4 linked regions of the Drosophila melanogaster genome follow. The protein of the gene in region 3 interacts with the protein of the main gene of each other region in a pairwise test. Each region holds a gene or a part of one and is shown on either strand. Other genes may lie near its edges.

What was found.
Region 1: the proteins of Rlip (region 3) and CG13711 interact in a two-hybrid assay, tested with the Drosophila melanogaster proteins (one large-scale study listed by BioGRID).
Region 2: the proteins of Rlip (region 3) and Rpt6R interact in a two-hybrid assay, tested with the Drosophila melanogaster proteins (one large-scale study listed by BioGRID).
Region 4: the proteins of Rlip (region 3) and CG13712 interact in a two-hybrid assay, tested with the Drosophila melanogaster proteins (one large-scale study listed by BioGRID).

What each region holds. Positions count from the first base shown.
Region 1 is NT_037436.4:4,756,192-4,759,269, reverse strand, and holds CG13711 (uncharacterized protein), read right to left. Parts: upstream 1,388-3,078; 5' UTR 1,242-1,387; coding exon 858-1,241; 3' UTR 562-857; downstream 1-561.
Region 2 is NT_033777.3:30,581,672-30,585,404, forward strand, and holds Rpt6R (regulatory particle triple-A ATPase 6-related), read right to left. Parts: upstream 2,027-3,733; 5' UTR 1,853-2,026; coding exon 1,705-1,852; intron 1,650-1,704; coding exon 598-1,649; 3' UTR 527-597; downstream 1-526. Other genes in the region: CG9702 (uncharacterized protein), read left to right, coding at 1-391; CG9717 (uncharacterized protein), read right to left, coding at 2,877-3,212, 3,404-3,549, 3,618-3,733.
Region 3 is NT_033777.3:21,015,626-21,021,253, forward strand, and holds Rlip (Ral interacting protein), read left to right. Parts: upstream 1-2,058; 5' UTR 2,059-2,152; coding exon 2,153-2,249; intron 2,250-2,316; coding exon 2,317-2,449; intron 2,450-2,504; coding exon 2,505-3,389; intron 3,390-3,819; coding exon 3,820-4,582; 3' UTR 4,583-5,128; downstream 5,129-5,628. Other genes in the region: CG5697 (uncharacterized protein), read left to right, coding at 660-802, 876-1,134. UniProt on the Drosophila melanogaster protein: Participates in receptor endocytosis during interphase, is also involved in mitotic processes when endocytosis is switched off.
Region 4 is NT_037436.4:4,708,666-4,711,661, reverse strand, and holds CG13712 (uncharacterized protein), read left to right. Parts: upstream 1-1,771; 5' UTR 1,772-1,805; coding exon 1,806-2,159; 3' UTR 2,160-2,453; downstream 2,454-2,996.

The sequences.
Region 1 (3,078 bases), on a different chromosome or scaffold from region 3:
TGTTGGTGTTCAGTTAAGTGTAAAGCACTTTGTGAATATTATTTTCCAATTAAAAAATGCTGGCCCAAAAAGTACCAAATCATTCATTCAATATTTGCGTGCCCAGTTAAAAACGCCTTTTCCAATCGATAATAGCATTCGAGTTTAATGCACCCGAAGGGGTCATAAATTCCAAAAGACTTGCGGTCAAGAGATAAGGCCCAACAGCTCAAATGATTTGTCTTGACACGTGTCAGGTTGTGGCTCAGAGAACTCAATTAGTGGCTGCCACAAATTGGCCTCACTTGATAGTCACATTAAGGTTGCTTCTGTCCACATCCATACCGTTGTCTAAACTTGAGTAGGTGGCAACAGCTGTTTAGACAATTGGGTGATTGCCAAAAATATTGGTTACAACTGGCGTCCAAATACATGACCTCGAAAGGTCAAAATATTATGGCAGGCGCTTTTAAAGACGTAATTTAAAATGAATGCATTGATATAAAAGCTTTGATTACTAACACCGTGGGAGTTTATTTCATTACAATTTAATCAAATTATTGTGCTTTTCTTAATTATCTTCACTGTGCTCACAAACGTCATTAAATTAATTAATCAATAATGTTATTAGTGCAGACCAAATACACACTAATTATAATCAGTGCTTATTGATATGTTTTTTGGGCCATACAATTTTATAAATTTATGCATCCCTTCACTTAAGCAAATGACAAAATATACGTTACAATCTCTTGAATAATTTACACAAAGTAATATCTTTTAGAGATTTCCAAAAACGTAAGAGGTATTAGAGATATTTTTTGTACTATGCGGTAAAATAGTCTTTCCTCCGACGATCCTGTGTATATTTATCACTATCACAATTCCGTACTCTCCATTTTGGGATTGGCATTCTTGATGCCCAGACTTCTTAACTTGCGAAGCCGCTGAATCTGGCGACGAAGTTTATGCCGAAAGACGATCTGATGGTTAACAGTCTTCAACTCGTCGGCGCTGTATCCTTTCAAATTCCGAACCGTTTTGGCCAGCAGTGTGTCGGTGATAAAGTACTTGGCCTTGGACAACCTCATGTACTCCACATTCTTCTGAGAAAGTTGCTGGCGGTACAGATACAGGTGATATCCCACATTGGGCGTCCCTTTTGGCTGCTGCTGATAGCAATGTTGTTGTTGCTCTTGTTGTCCCGCATTTTTCGCAGGCTTGCTGTCGCATTCGTTGATGAGTTTCTGGTAGCGCGGCATTTTATAATCGATAAGTCTCGGTATAAAACACAAAGTCCGGTGCTGATTTCCTTAGCAGATTCTCTAGGTGGTATCTCAGCAATATTCGTTGCAGTTGCAAGTAAAAATATCCGATGCTGCTTGTCCAACGTTTTCAGAGCGTTTGATGTCCTTTCAACAATCAGGCTAGTTTTTATACATCCCAGCTAGCCACATCCTGCTGCCTGTGTTTACCTGAACTTTCGGAGTCCCGACTTTTTTTAAACCCTTGACCATCGACAAAAAGTTACCTGTCCTTTACCTGCACTTTTGACTTATGCCCCTTTCGGTTGGCGTAATAAAAAACAATTCATTCTTAATCTGCTGCCCGTCGTAAAGTTTTAGTATTTTGCAAACATTTTCATTCTTAATCCGTTTCAGTAATCCGCCCTCGCGGCCGCCCGGGCAATTTACAACAAAAAATATATCTCAACTGGCGCGTATAAAAAGATTAAGTGACATTACACAACGTATTTTCCCAAGCAGCTGAAATTCGCAAGCCACTGCCGGATGAACATGCATTTTCCTGCTGCGGAAAAGGGTAAATTGCAGAGAAGGATGCAAAGGATAAGTGCCGAACTGGATTAGCGACGGGAGACAGCTGCAAGGCCTTTAAGAATTTATTAATGATCTCTAAGAAAGATGGCTAAAGTGATCAATATGCATAATGACAGCAATAACTGAGAAAAATTGGTCTCTATAACACTTTTCTAAAACGTCTTAAAATTTGAATTTTGATTCTACTCTTAATAGAAATACTTCTCTATATCTTCAATCAATTCCAATCCTTGGTAATCACATTAAACTATATAAAAATTTAGAGTCGGCGGTATCACATTTTGCATTATTTGTGTTGAGAGAATGACTTTGGAAGTTCAAAATCGCCGAGCTCAAGTTACATAACTGCATTGTCAGTGCAAAGTGTAGTCAGGAGAAAATGGAACGGAAAAATGTCGCCTGGATTGGAGGGCACTTTTTTTTATAAATTCACATTTCTTGCCTTTGCATAAAAATCCTGATCAAATAACACAAAGTTCAACCTACTTTTCCGCTCTAAAATATATACGTGGCAACAAAAATAAAAGTAATCTGTTAAGACAGCTAAGGAGTGTGTTGGAAAAATCGAGGGCGGGGAATGAAAGTGATAGACCTCTGGCAGAATTATGGCAAACTTTAGCTTCATTCCCATTTCTTTTTCTTAAAATGTAACGAGACGAAACGAAACTTTTCAAAGTTGAATGTTGAAATAAGCAATTTTCGCGTTCAACTATAGAACATATATACATAGGGCAAGTGCCAGACTAGACAAGCAGGGCTGGTGGAAAAAAATAAAAAAAAAAAGATTGAAAAGTAATTGCATTCAAGAGCTTGTAGTTAAAAATTTATGGCCATAGTGCCCAAGAATCTAGGGGAAAAGGGCACAGCGAATGAAAAAATTAAGCTGATGCTAGTGTTTTTGCTATTGCTGTTGCTTTTGCTTTGCTGCTGGGAAATATTGAAAATGTAATTCCAACTGTTGTCTGCCCTCCGATGGTAATTGCAATGACCGGCAGCTCGAACGGCGGTATTACCAACGGAACAGCAAAAGCAGCAGTTCGAAATAAAAGTAAGTTAAATTGAAAATGAAATGCAATCAGCCTGAGCTCTTTGGCGCACTTCCTTGGCCCCCTTGATACTGTATCTCTACGCTTGTACTTCTATTTTTATCCGCTGGATGCATATCCATTTCGCAGCTGCATTATTAACGCTAGGTGTGAACATTTTAGCCGTGTAATTGACACAGAAACATCCACTGCATTTCATAGAAGATATCTCTTGG
Region 2 (3,733 bases), 9.6 Mb from region 3:
CAGATGTCTGATCTTTCCTTCGGTGGAGTTTGTTCGAAATATGGTACTGAAGTTGGGCAGCAAATCCACATTGCCAGTGGTCATCGATTGCACCTATATCTATGCTGCGGATTTCACAGCCGCCAAAGTAATATCCTCCATTGTGGACGACTTCCGCCGGCGTCAGCAAAAGATCATATTCTTCAACTTGAAGCCCAGTGTAGTGAGTGTCTTCGAGGGATTGAACACGAGGCTGGTGCTTTGCTACAACACCCATGCCCTCAACCAGGAACTCCGGCCCGACGAGCCGGATCTTTCGAGGTCCGTGGACTCACTCGACCACGCCGAGTCCGGAAACGGAACTAGTGAATGCGTGAGCATGGCCAGCACTCTTTCACTAGCTAGAAGTTAGTCTTACAACGCCCAAATAAAATTAGCTAAGTTATATCTATACCATTACGAACATTAATCTAGTAGTTTCACTTGAGTAAAGTCTTTGTTTTTACACTCCTGTCCTTTTCTATCAAGAATATACTACAAAACTTGTATTATTTATATCAACTATTATATTCAGTCTGATAATGGAGCTTTCAAATGTTTTAAAATTAGTTATATAAGCTATTTCCAGAACTTTCTGATGGACATGTTCTTCTCGGAGTCCTTCATCATTACCTTGGAGACGGCCATTTCAAAGTCCTCCTGGGTGACATGGACCCGTCTTTCCCTCAGAGCATACATTCCCGCCTCGGTGCAAACACCCTTGACTTCAGCACCAGAAGCCCCCGGCATTTCTTCAGCAATCTTGCGAAGATTGATGCCTCTGGTGAGGTTCATCTTGCGAGAATGTATCTTCAGGATATCCAATCTGGCCTCTTCGTTTGGTGGCGGAAACTCGATCTTGCGGTCAATTCGACCAGGACGCAGTAATGCCTGATCCAAGACATCGATGCGATTGGTGGCCATGATCACCTTAATGTTTTTAGTAGCCTCGAAGCCGTCCAGTTGGTTCAGAAGCTCCAGCATGGTTCGCTGGACCTCCGAATCCCCCGTTCCGGTTTCCAGTCGAGCGGAACCAATCGAGTCGATCTCGTCCATGAATATTATGGATGGAGCGTGTTCCCTAGCCATCACAAAAAGCTCCCTTACCATTCTCGAACCCTCGCCGATGAATTTCTGAACCAGTTCCGACCCTGAAACCCGTATAAAAGTGCACTCCGTGTGATGGGCTACAGCTCGGGCTAACAGGGTTTTCCCAGTTCCAGGCGGTCCGTAGAGGAGCACTCCCTTTGGCTGGGTAATGCCCAAGGCGTCAAATAATTCCGGATGCTTTACAGGCAGCTCAATCACCTCCTTGATCTCCTGGATCTGCTTGTCCAAGCCACCCACCATTTCGTAGGTGGAGTCGGGCACCTTTTCCACCAACATAAGGGATACTAATGGGTCCACCTTATTGGGCAGAATTTTGTGAAGCGTGTAGCTCTCGTTTCGCAGGGCCACCCTGCTGCTGGGTGTCACATCCTTAATATTGATGGTCTTGTCCACATCCACTACATACTTGCCCTCGGGATGAACCTTCACAAGGACCTTATTCTTGTCCATGGGCTTCACAACCTCCGCAATATAGCTCCCCTGCTCCTGGAGCAACTGCAGCTCCTCGCGCAGCAAGCGAACTGTGGATAAGGCAGGATAATCTTATAAAGGATATATTCATTCTAAGAACCTTACCCTTGAGGTTGAGTTCATTTCTCTGAGCCTGCAAACGGAGCAAGTTCTTTTGGCGTTCGTTCACAGTGAACTGAAGCTCTGATATTTTCTGCGTATAATATGAATGAAAGCCTTCGGAACCCTCTGGGATTCCTACGTCTTTGCTCATCTGGTAAAATTAATATTTCTTCTGGAAAAAAAAATCACTTCAAAAAAGGCTAGCTAGTAATTTATTACGTTGAACTGCAAATTGTTATTTCTTTCCTTGTATAGCGCTCAACAACTTCCCGAGCTATTGATATAATTTTGCTTATTTTTTTGAACGAACTGAATCCGGCTGATGAGACGACAGTTTTTACGCAGTGCTGGGAAATTTTGACAAGTTAGGGATGGAAACTTCATTTCACACTTTAACTTAAGGGTTCTTGAACAGACTAAAAATTTTAAGATAAGTCGTATTATTGCCACACGTTTCGTAAATATTATTTTATTATAGGTGTCAAACATATTCATTCAATCTTATCTCGAGTAATGCTTTCTTGTTATTGATGCCTTCGAACCAAAAAATTTACTTCCCACACGAAGCACCAAATAAAATCACAGCATAGTTTGAGATTAAAGACACCCAGAAATCATGATGTTGTTTAGATATAAAGTCTATCAATCTTGGAATAAATCTTTAATAAAGCCAGTAGTTGGTAACAACGTATAATACCTAATGAGAGTGTTTTATTTCCACTTTCTTGGCCAATCAAGTAAAACTCTTAACGCCACTTAACTATTTTATATTTACTTGATTTATTTAAGTACTTATGCTAAAACTCGCCGTTCGCTACCCGAAAATAATACTATGTTCAGCGGCAAAATCGCGGGTGGGAGGAGCCCTGACTCTGGAATTCACAGCGTTTCGCCGTTAGAGGCCAAATAAATAATATTGTGCAGATATCTGCGAAGATTGCCACATCTTAAATGCTAATTAAGGTGAGCTGGGCTAGCCGTGGAATGGTAATGGTACCTTCAACTAAGGCGATGAGCGTGGGCAGCCCACATCTAGATTTAGTCGCTGGCCTCGGTGGCAAGACTAAGCTAGTACTAGGTCTAGGACAGAGACTAAGCTACGAACTAGACTTGGGCTAAGACTATCGCATAACGAGGTTGCAGCGTTGTTCCCCCTTCGGACTTCTTTGGATCCCTCAGATCGGGGGCGACTTCTCCGCCAGCTTGGCGTGCAGGGTGTTAATATCGTATATGACCACCAGATCCTTGTTCAGACCCTCGAAGACCTGCGCCACTCGCGGCTGCAGGTTGTAGAAGAACAGCGGCTGCTCCCGCAGCTTAAAGTCCATCACCATGGTGGATATCACCTTGGCGGCCGTGAAGTCCGCTCCATAGATGTGGGTGCAATCGATGACCACCGGCAGTGTGGACTTCTGACCCTGCTTGTTGATCACCTTGCGCACAAACTCCATCGAGGGGAAGATCAGACAGCGATCGGGAGTTAGCATTAGGTATTTCAGACCAGTAGTTGTCTATAAAGATAGGTCGGCTTATTAATATCATAGGAATCATCTATGGCATATCAACTAGCAGTATATTAATTCCTACAGTAAGATGAACATGAGATAAAAATGCCATCCGAATCTTAAGAATCTGTAGCATACTTTCAGCCACTGAAGCTATTCTAGGTATAGATTGAGATACTTCGGATGGAATGACTCACCGCCAGCGTTTCGATGCGCAACTTTGGCCGGGCTGCCTGGTAGAGGATGAAGACCACATTGATGCCGATGCCCACGAGGATGCCCAGTTGCAGGGGCAGAACCAGACAGGCGAAAAAGGCACCCAGGCCGGGAATGAGATCGGTTTCTGTGGCAGGAGAAATACACACGTATGGTAACAAACATGTGAGTGTGGTTTATTTATTTTCAACTCACTTTTACTGTGCCACATGGGCTTGATCACTCGGTACTGGACCATGAAAATAACCGCCGCAATAATAATGGAGGCCAGAGCCGCCTTAGGAATGTAGTAAAAGCAGGGCGTGAGGTAC
Region 3 (5,628 bases):
CGAATCCCAATAAACTAACACATTAAACCGATCGATCTGGCTGTGAACTTTTCACTTCCCTGAAATCTTGGGCTTATCCTTATCGCTATGGGAAACTGGGGGAGGCGACTTCTCTGCTGCGGTTATGTAATGCCCCAAAAAAGCGCCAGATAAGACCAACCGCCGGTTGCGGAAGATGAGCGGATCGCCACGGCCCATGGAGATAAAGTTGTTTACAGGAATCCGGACCGAGCACAAAGACAAACAGCAATGGCAATAAAGCAATGGGACAGAGAGACAACCCAGCTGCAAGCTAATTAAAGTTGCGACAGAACGAAGCCAGTCGCCAGTAGTCCGCCAGTTGCGAATGGAGCAATTTCCAGCCGGGAGTGTTTGCAATCCTGGTACTATCCCGTGAGAAGGGCTGAAAAAGGACTGTAAAATACCCAGTTCCCATCTATAGTTATCTGTCGTGCCTGCAAGGGGCTACGGCAACTTTGGTGGTATTGACAAAAAAAAAACGAAAGATACATGTCACAGTTATCATATATAAATTATCAGTCATTTGAATAAATCATTATTCATTATTATTATTATTTTCACTTCTTGTTACAGATAAAGTTACATAAACTGCGTATACCCTCTTGTTCGGCACACATCCAGGGTACCACACGGCAAATATGTCCTGCAACGAGAAGACAGCGCTTCTGGCAACGCAACAAGGACATCAGCAGCGGCAGCAGCGGCAGCAGCAGCACATCATTGTCGTGCCCGCGACGGGGAAGGATCCAAAGGATTATGAGCCCATTTTCACAACTGCTGAGTAAACGCTTTCCGTCGTATTTCATTAAAAAATAACTTCGTTACACAGTGCCGCCTGCCCGCTTCTTTCGTAGCTATTCCTACGGACTGACGCTCGAGGAGCTCCTGCCCTTCGCTCTGGATCCCTGGTGGCAGGCCGTACGGCGCCTCAGCTGCGGGCTCCTGGGCCTGACTTTCCTGCTGACCCTGATTGCTGGACTGGTTATGGCCTATTCCGACAGTGTCTGTCTCCCAAATAGAGCAATTAGCAGAAACGCGACCACCACGACAACGATGGCCACGCCACTATCCTTGGCTCTCAACGGCTCCCAGCTGCTGATGGCCAGTTTATAGTGGCCGTAAGCTAATCTGTGTAGCATTTTGGAGATGCCGCAATCCACCCTGCGGAATTGCATCAGCCGCATCAGCTCGCACTATTAGCATTTGTTTGGCTTGCCGGTAATGGAGGCGACCTAATCCTCCTCCTCTCTACTGTTTACCCCTACTCAAGCTGAGTGATAAGCGATGCACCGCGGGATTGATTGGTCGTGAAATAATTATACTGATTAACTTATTTGCTACACAACCGCCTACTCGTAAAGTAAAAAGAATGCAAAAGGTATAAGGAAGCGTTTCCGTACCAATTAAGAACATTGTATCGCAAACTTATTAATTTTTATATATATACATATATATATATGAATATTACTTAAACTAATAAACGAATAGTTTTTTTTCATCGCTGTATTCTGGTTTCGGTTTCTGGGAGTTTAGAAGTTAACAAACCGCCTTATAGTTTTACAGCCCCACCCTGAAAAAATGGTTTGATTTAGTTTTATTTTATAAATAGTCTTGGCAATTTGTATACTTGTGAAAAAACATTTTCACCACGCCCACACTAGCGCGCACAATTAACAAAATCCTGTAGTTACAGAGGTGGTACTCTTGTCATTTTGGAAGTTTTATGTATTATGTAGTTTATGTATATATATAAAAAATATTTTCTTAGAATTTAAATTATTTAAAATATTATTATTATTATATTATATATTAACACATATTTATTTATTTATTTATTATATATATATATATATATATATATTAATATTATAAAAATTTAAGAGTTAGTAGCTGATCGCATTTCTGATAGTTGAGGAACTCGACTGTAGCGTTTTCTCTTGTTTCAATTTGCCTTTTTTTAAATATCTACACCGTTACTACATATTTTTTACATGACACAGTAGCGCCATCTGTGCACTTATCAGTGTTGGATAGCAGCGGCGACTTCGATTAAGCAATCGATTATTTGTTGCATATGTTGTTTACGGCAATTGTTTATATTTATTTACTGCTGGTGAAGTGATTATTCGTGATGGATTTTGACAGTCCCGAGGAGAAGGAGTTTCCCGGGCTGTACGCCTCCGAGGCGGCGGACGCTAAGTCGAGGAAGAGCAAGGAGGAGAGCGACTGTGAGTGGAGCGCAAAGATGTGGGCGTAAGCTGGGAAAAAATCAATGGGCTCACCTTGCCTTTACAGTTAGTGAGGATCACGACCATAGCAAGAAGGACTTGTTGATTGGCCGGCGCAAGGACAAGAAGGAAAAGGGCAAGGATCGAGGATACGCCGCTCTGGAGGGCGAGAGCTCGCCGGAGGAGGAGCTGGACACCAAGTGGGTGCAGGTCAGCTGACCCAGAGACAAGTAATATTTTTTCTTTTACTTCCAGAAGTCCATCCAAGTCGAAAAAGTCAAAGACCTTTAAGTTCACCAGCTCCAAGAGCAAGGAGAAGCGGGAAAAGTCGCGGGACAAGTCTGAAAAAGACTCGAAGCACGCAGAGGAGGAGCCTTCCGTCTCCCACAAGGTCAAGGAGAAAGAGCGGGATAAGGAGAAGGACCGTGATGAGCCCAAGAAGAAGGACAAGGAGGAGAAGCGCAAGGAAAAGGACAAGAAGGCTGACAAGAAGGACAAAAAGGATAAGAAGAGCAAGCAGCTGTCGCAGCAGCAGGACGACGTCTCCGCCGCGGAGGAAGTGCTGGCACTTGGGTATCCCGTCTTTGGGGTGTCCGTTAGCTTGGCGACCGAACGATCCCGCTGCCACGACGGCGTGGACATTCCCCTGGTTGTGCGCGACTGCATCGACTTCCTGCAGGATCACCTGAAGTGTGAGCAGATCTACAAGATTGAGCCCATCAAGACGCGTCTGATGCACTTCAAGCGGTTGTACAACAACCGGGAGCACGACTCCGCCGTTGATGAGCTCAACCTGCCTACCGCCTGCAGTCTGCTGAAGCTCTTCCTGCGCGAACTGCCGGAGCCACTGCTGACCACCGATCTGGTGGCCCGCTTTGAGGAGGTAGCCTCTCATCCGAAGGTAACCACGCAGCAGGCAGAGCTGCAGCAGCTGCTTGAACAATTGCCCAAGTGCAATCGCACCCTCTTGGCGTGGGTGCTGCTCCACTTCGACGCGGTGATCCAGCAGGAAAGACACAATAAGCTCAACGCTCAGTCGCTGGCTATGCTGCTCAGTCCGACGCTCCAGATGTCTCACCGACTAATGGTGGCCCTACTCTGCCACTGCAACAACTTGTTCGCGGACGTCCAGCTGATAAAGTGAGCAAACACCGGCTAGCCGGATAACAGTGGTGGGAAATATCCAAGTACCTTTGTGTTGGTAAAAGAGAAGTCCACATTTAACAACTATAGTTAAATCACAAGAACGAATCGAAGTCATAGCTCTGAAGTTAACTACTAAACTGTTAGTTTTAGTAAACTGTTAGTTTCCATATTTATCTAATGATATAAATTGTTTTTTTATATGTATAATAGGTACTTATAAGAACCCAGATAATTCCCACCACTGTTGGCAGTTGATAAGATTGCTGCTATAAAAATCGCCAGATTTAGTCGTTTATTTTGCAACCGACGATGAGCACATTACCCCGTAAACAGAAGCGCTTTCCACGTTTCGCCAGTTTTCTAATCAGGCAGAATGGCACACATTTAAACAAAGTTATCATAATACTAAATTGTCATCTCTTAGGTATGTGCCCCCTTTAACATCGACCAGCCCAAAGCTTCCGGATACGCCGGAGGACATCCAGACGGAGTTGCGCAAGCAGGACAGCCTCCTGTCCCAGATCCACAGCGAGATGAACGCCGGGTTCATTACCAAGAAACGCGAGGAACAGCTGTGGGAAGTGCAGCGCATCATTACCCAGCTGAAGCGGAAACTACGAACTTTTGAGAAGAAACAGGAAAAGACTGCGGAGGAAGTAGACAACAGCAGCAGTGCTCCGCCCGCTGTAGCCAGTGAAGATACCACTGACTCCAAACCAGCTGGAACTCCAGCCGTATCTACGAACAACAGTATTTCCCAGGAAGAGCCAAAAACCGATACACTAACTCCGAAAGATGCTCCTAACGATTTTACTATTGATCCCAGCACTGGCTTTATTTTGCTCCCCAAATCAAATCCGCACCGCGAAAATTTGCTGCGGCTCCAAATTGAATATGACGAGCTAATGGAATGGCAGAACGAACTAAAAGCACGTATCGTCGCCGAGCGCAACGAAGTCTATAGGCTCAAGCAGCTGTACGAGCAGCAGTCAATAAACAGTCAAATGGCCTCCTTGGCCTCGGGATCTCAGGCTCCCCCAGAATCCGACTATGAGCGGATAATCGAGCACTATACACGGGAGAATGCGCTGCTGGAGCACAAGAAGAATATGCTGGGCATGGAACTAAAGGAGGAACGACGGGCCTGTATTGCTCTACAAGTTGAGCTGCGGCTCCAGCAGTTTTAATGTATTAATTCGATTAATGTATTACTTGGATGGGTCAATTTGAGGGATATAACTAAGTTCCTATTCCGGAAACTTAATGGTCACATTTCCAAAGAAACATAAAAGGTCTACTAGGCAATCATAGGAGGTTTCTTAGATTCGTAGAAGACAATTCTATGTCACATATCTAAAATATTCAAATGAATAAACTTGTAAAGTTTTTGATAATTCATTTATCTGCAAACGTAGTCACTGTTCTAAACAGTGTCCTTTGTGAATTGCAATATATGAGAATTTTCAGTTCAGCTTTTAAGGAGATAAAATACTGCTAAAACATAAAACGGATTCCTCATGCCTAAAGTCAGTTTATTGTTTATTTGGAAATGAGCTAGTTTCAGACTTGACCCACCGAAATATATGTATGTATATAGGGTTACCAATTTTAAATCTCAATGTCTACTTGCGATCAAATGCTTTGTTCAAACTATAATTACTGTTAAACGGCGCAAAGCCCCAAAGAAATCTTGTTAGACAACTTTACTGCTTTCAACAATTAAATGAGAAAACAAACTCAAAATTCCCTTTTCTGTACTGAACTATTGCATCGAAATATGTCTCCTCGAAGAATTTTGTAAATGCCGGTAAAGTAGCTGCGTTTGTGTGTGCCGACAATCAAGATCCGATTTTCTAAATCGGTCTGATGACTTAATTCCAATCCGAGAAATACAGGGCACAGATTAGAAGATGTTTAGACGACGGATTGGCTGTTCGCTGGGGTGAAACGGAAATGACATCATCTCATATTACGTCTTGTCAACATTGTGATGGTCAAGGAACCGAGGTGGGCTTTGCGTGTTACGATTACTTTATTTAATATTTATTATTAATAATTTTAGAATACATTATCATTATGCATTACGTTCGGGGCGTGTTTTCTGTATTCCGCTGAAGTACAACTTAAAAATATCACACACAAATACCACGGGGGAAAGATGAGTCCTCCGGAATGCCAAACCGCGTCAACTCGCTCCCCTCCATGATTAAGTTATTTCCGCTGGACTACAGAT
Region 4 (2,996 bases), on a different chromosome or scaffold from region 3:
GTTTTCAGTTTTACGTACTCAGTTTTCAGTTCGCCCGATTCTGGCATCTCGATTCTCTTTTGTTTCAGGTTTGGGGTTCCTGTTCTGGCCGTTTGGCTGGTTTCATTTATTATTTATGTGCATTTTGATGTGGAAAATATTCCTTTTTCGTCGCTTTGTTTGCCATGTTGTAGCTACGTTTTTATATATTTTGTTGTTATATGAAGTTTTGCCAGTTGAAAATTTGTCGCCACCCGGAAAAGTTTTTAGAGAGATATGTATATATTTTACGTATTGTCATTTGGATAACATTGTAATGCAGTTGGACTGGAATAGTTTTTTGTTTTGTTTTGTACAGTTCGAGAGCTGGAAAAGCTGCAGAGCAATTTCCACTTTACACTCTTGGCCATGTGGGTTAATTAGCACCGACTTTTCCTCAGCTAAAGGGAAATCACTTGGCAGTAACGTTTGAATCTGCAACATTACGAGGCCTTTGAGTTTCCGCCTTACCATACGTATATGTATAGTTCCGATTAACCCCGGCTTGGAAACTACAGTTCCGATTTAACCTGGGCTTAATGAGGCCGCAGATGCAGAGTTGGCCAAAAGAAACCGGTGATGTAATGCCACGCACATTTGCCACAAGGCAATGCCCCTACCACAGGCTAACTGCCCATTGTGTGTAAATTTGTTTTTCTGCTTATCGTTGTATTTCTTTTTTCTACGCTACCTCATATTGCACATAAAGGTAATTTCTAATTTGCTGGTGTTTTATTGTTTTTCTGCCGGCTCACTTTATGGCGCCGACTTATGCAACACCTCTAAGGCAGCGACGCATGCGCTCGAATTACACACATGGATATGGACACTAAACGCAGGGCTTTGCCTCTATATCGGCCATAAAAGCATAACGGCGTTCATTAATCATGCCGGTCACGTCGGCCCAAGAAAAAAAAATGAACTACACTAACATAAATTGTCTAAAAGCGAGAATGTGCTCTAGTAAGCGCAGAACTAATTGTGAATAGTTAATGAGGCTTGGAGACCAAACAGACAACAAGCCTTGAAAACACAGAAAATCTGATTTCTTACGAAATGATTCTATTTCGGGAAATTAAGTGGTTTCCCATTGTCATGCTTAATTGAAAATTGTAGTTCTATAAAGATCGTTTAGAATACTAAATACCTTTCGCAATTTCGCTATAAAATACTACCCGTACTACAAATAAGTTTAAGTTAATCGTAAAAGAAGTTTACGCATTGTATTGTGTTGGAATCCAAAAAGGGAATAATTGAATTGAAGTCTTTTTTATGTGGAACTCATCCCGATCTATCTTTATGTCGTCTAGGGCCTAGATTTTTCGCTAACTGCACCGAAGCTAGAGGTAACGTCGTGTGGCAGCAAAAGAACAGTAGCATCGACAACTGTTGCCAATTAGCGGCAACATGCAAAGCGCATTTGCATTTGCATTGAACCTGGAGCTCTCTATTTTGCGATTCTGCCTGCTGGCGACGACACCGGAGCCACCGATGGCACCAACAACCGAGCTGGAAAACGTAATCAGTTCAAGTCGCGGCACGGCATTAGGGTTCAGTTATCGGGGGCAGGTATAGGTATCCTAATTGAGTCCTTCAAATATAATGTACGGCAATAAACCCAGGATTTTTGCATACCTGGTAAACCGGGAAATCGCGAGGAAACCAACATCGCATCGAACCATATACCTGAGTGGCTTTAAAGTCGCCCGCACACGCACTGATTGCATCATTTGGCCTCAAACCAGTGAGGAGAACGTTTCGATTTGCATAGTATATACAAGAGGAAAATGTCAGACTATTCCAGCTACAGCAACTGCAGTGGCAACTCCCAGAGGAGAGAGCAATCCGTGAGCTATGCCCTCTACCTCCACCGTAGGGAGTTGGGTCGTCCCAGGCGCAAGATGATGCGAATCGCTAGCACCAAGTTGCAGCTGACAAACGAGCTCATCCAGCTGCAGCAGCGTCGCCAATGGGAGTCGGCCTTTGAACTCGAGTTCGACGCGGAGGCCAGTTCCCAGCAGATGAGTGCCCTCGATAGGGAACGGGAATATAGGGACAGATTGCGAACCAATATGCAGCGGCAACTCGAGAAGCAGCAGAAACGCAAGCGAAAGTATCTCGAGGAAATCGGCAAGCTGTAGTGCTGACAACTACGAGCATAATGCGGAAGGCAATAATTAATTAATTAATTGAGCACCATATTAAGTAAATTAAAGAGTAATGATAACTCTTATTGACAAACTAGAAAATCAAGATTTTCAAGCTATAGGTTTATTATTTCTGACTAAGGAAAGCAGGAACGTGAAACAGGGAACTCAGAAAAAGATTTTGTGATATAAAAAGACAACTTTTACCAACATTTACAAATATTATTTAGTTTTACGGCATTACAGCCTTATATGAATTATTATATAAATCTAGCATTAGAACAGAAGAATATCGCTCAATAAAATAGTTGCATAACAATTACATAAGGCCTTCTTTACTGAGACTATAAAACGAACTACAATAATTTCGAAATGTGCCAAAAGATTTGTGATTAGCTATCTATCGTTTATCTTCGCTCGTTTGCAGAATTGATTTTCCTTCTTTCTAGGCCACGGACTCTAAGCTGGCCTTAGCCAAGCCAAAAAAGTATCATAAATTACGAAAAAAAACTGCGACTTTCTGTGTGACTTCCACAACTCAAGAGATCGGGGCTGAGACAAGCAAAAGTGTTTGACTTTTGACACTCTTTCCTAGGCGGTTAAGGTGGCAACGTCTGTCAAGTGCAGGAAAAACTGAAAAACTACAAGCAAATAACTGCTAAACGAATACCTGGCACTGTACAACATTTTAACTAGCAAACACCAATTGAATGCTAATTGAACTTCTGTCAAAAAAATGTTATTGTATCGTAAAATACAATTGCAGTTTTTTTTGTGTATAGTTTTACCTGGAAAATAATTTGGAATTTTTCGTTTCTTCTAAAGTGCAAC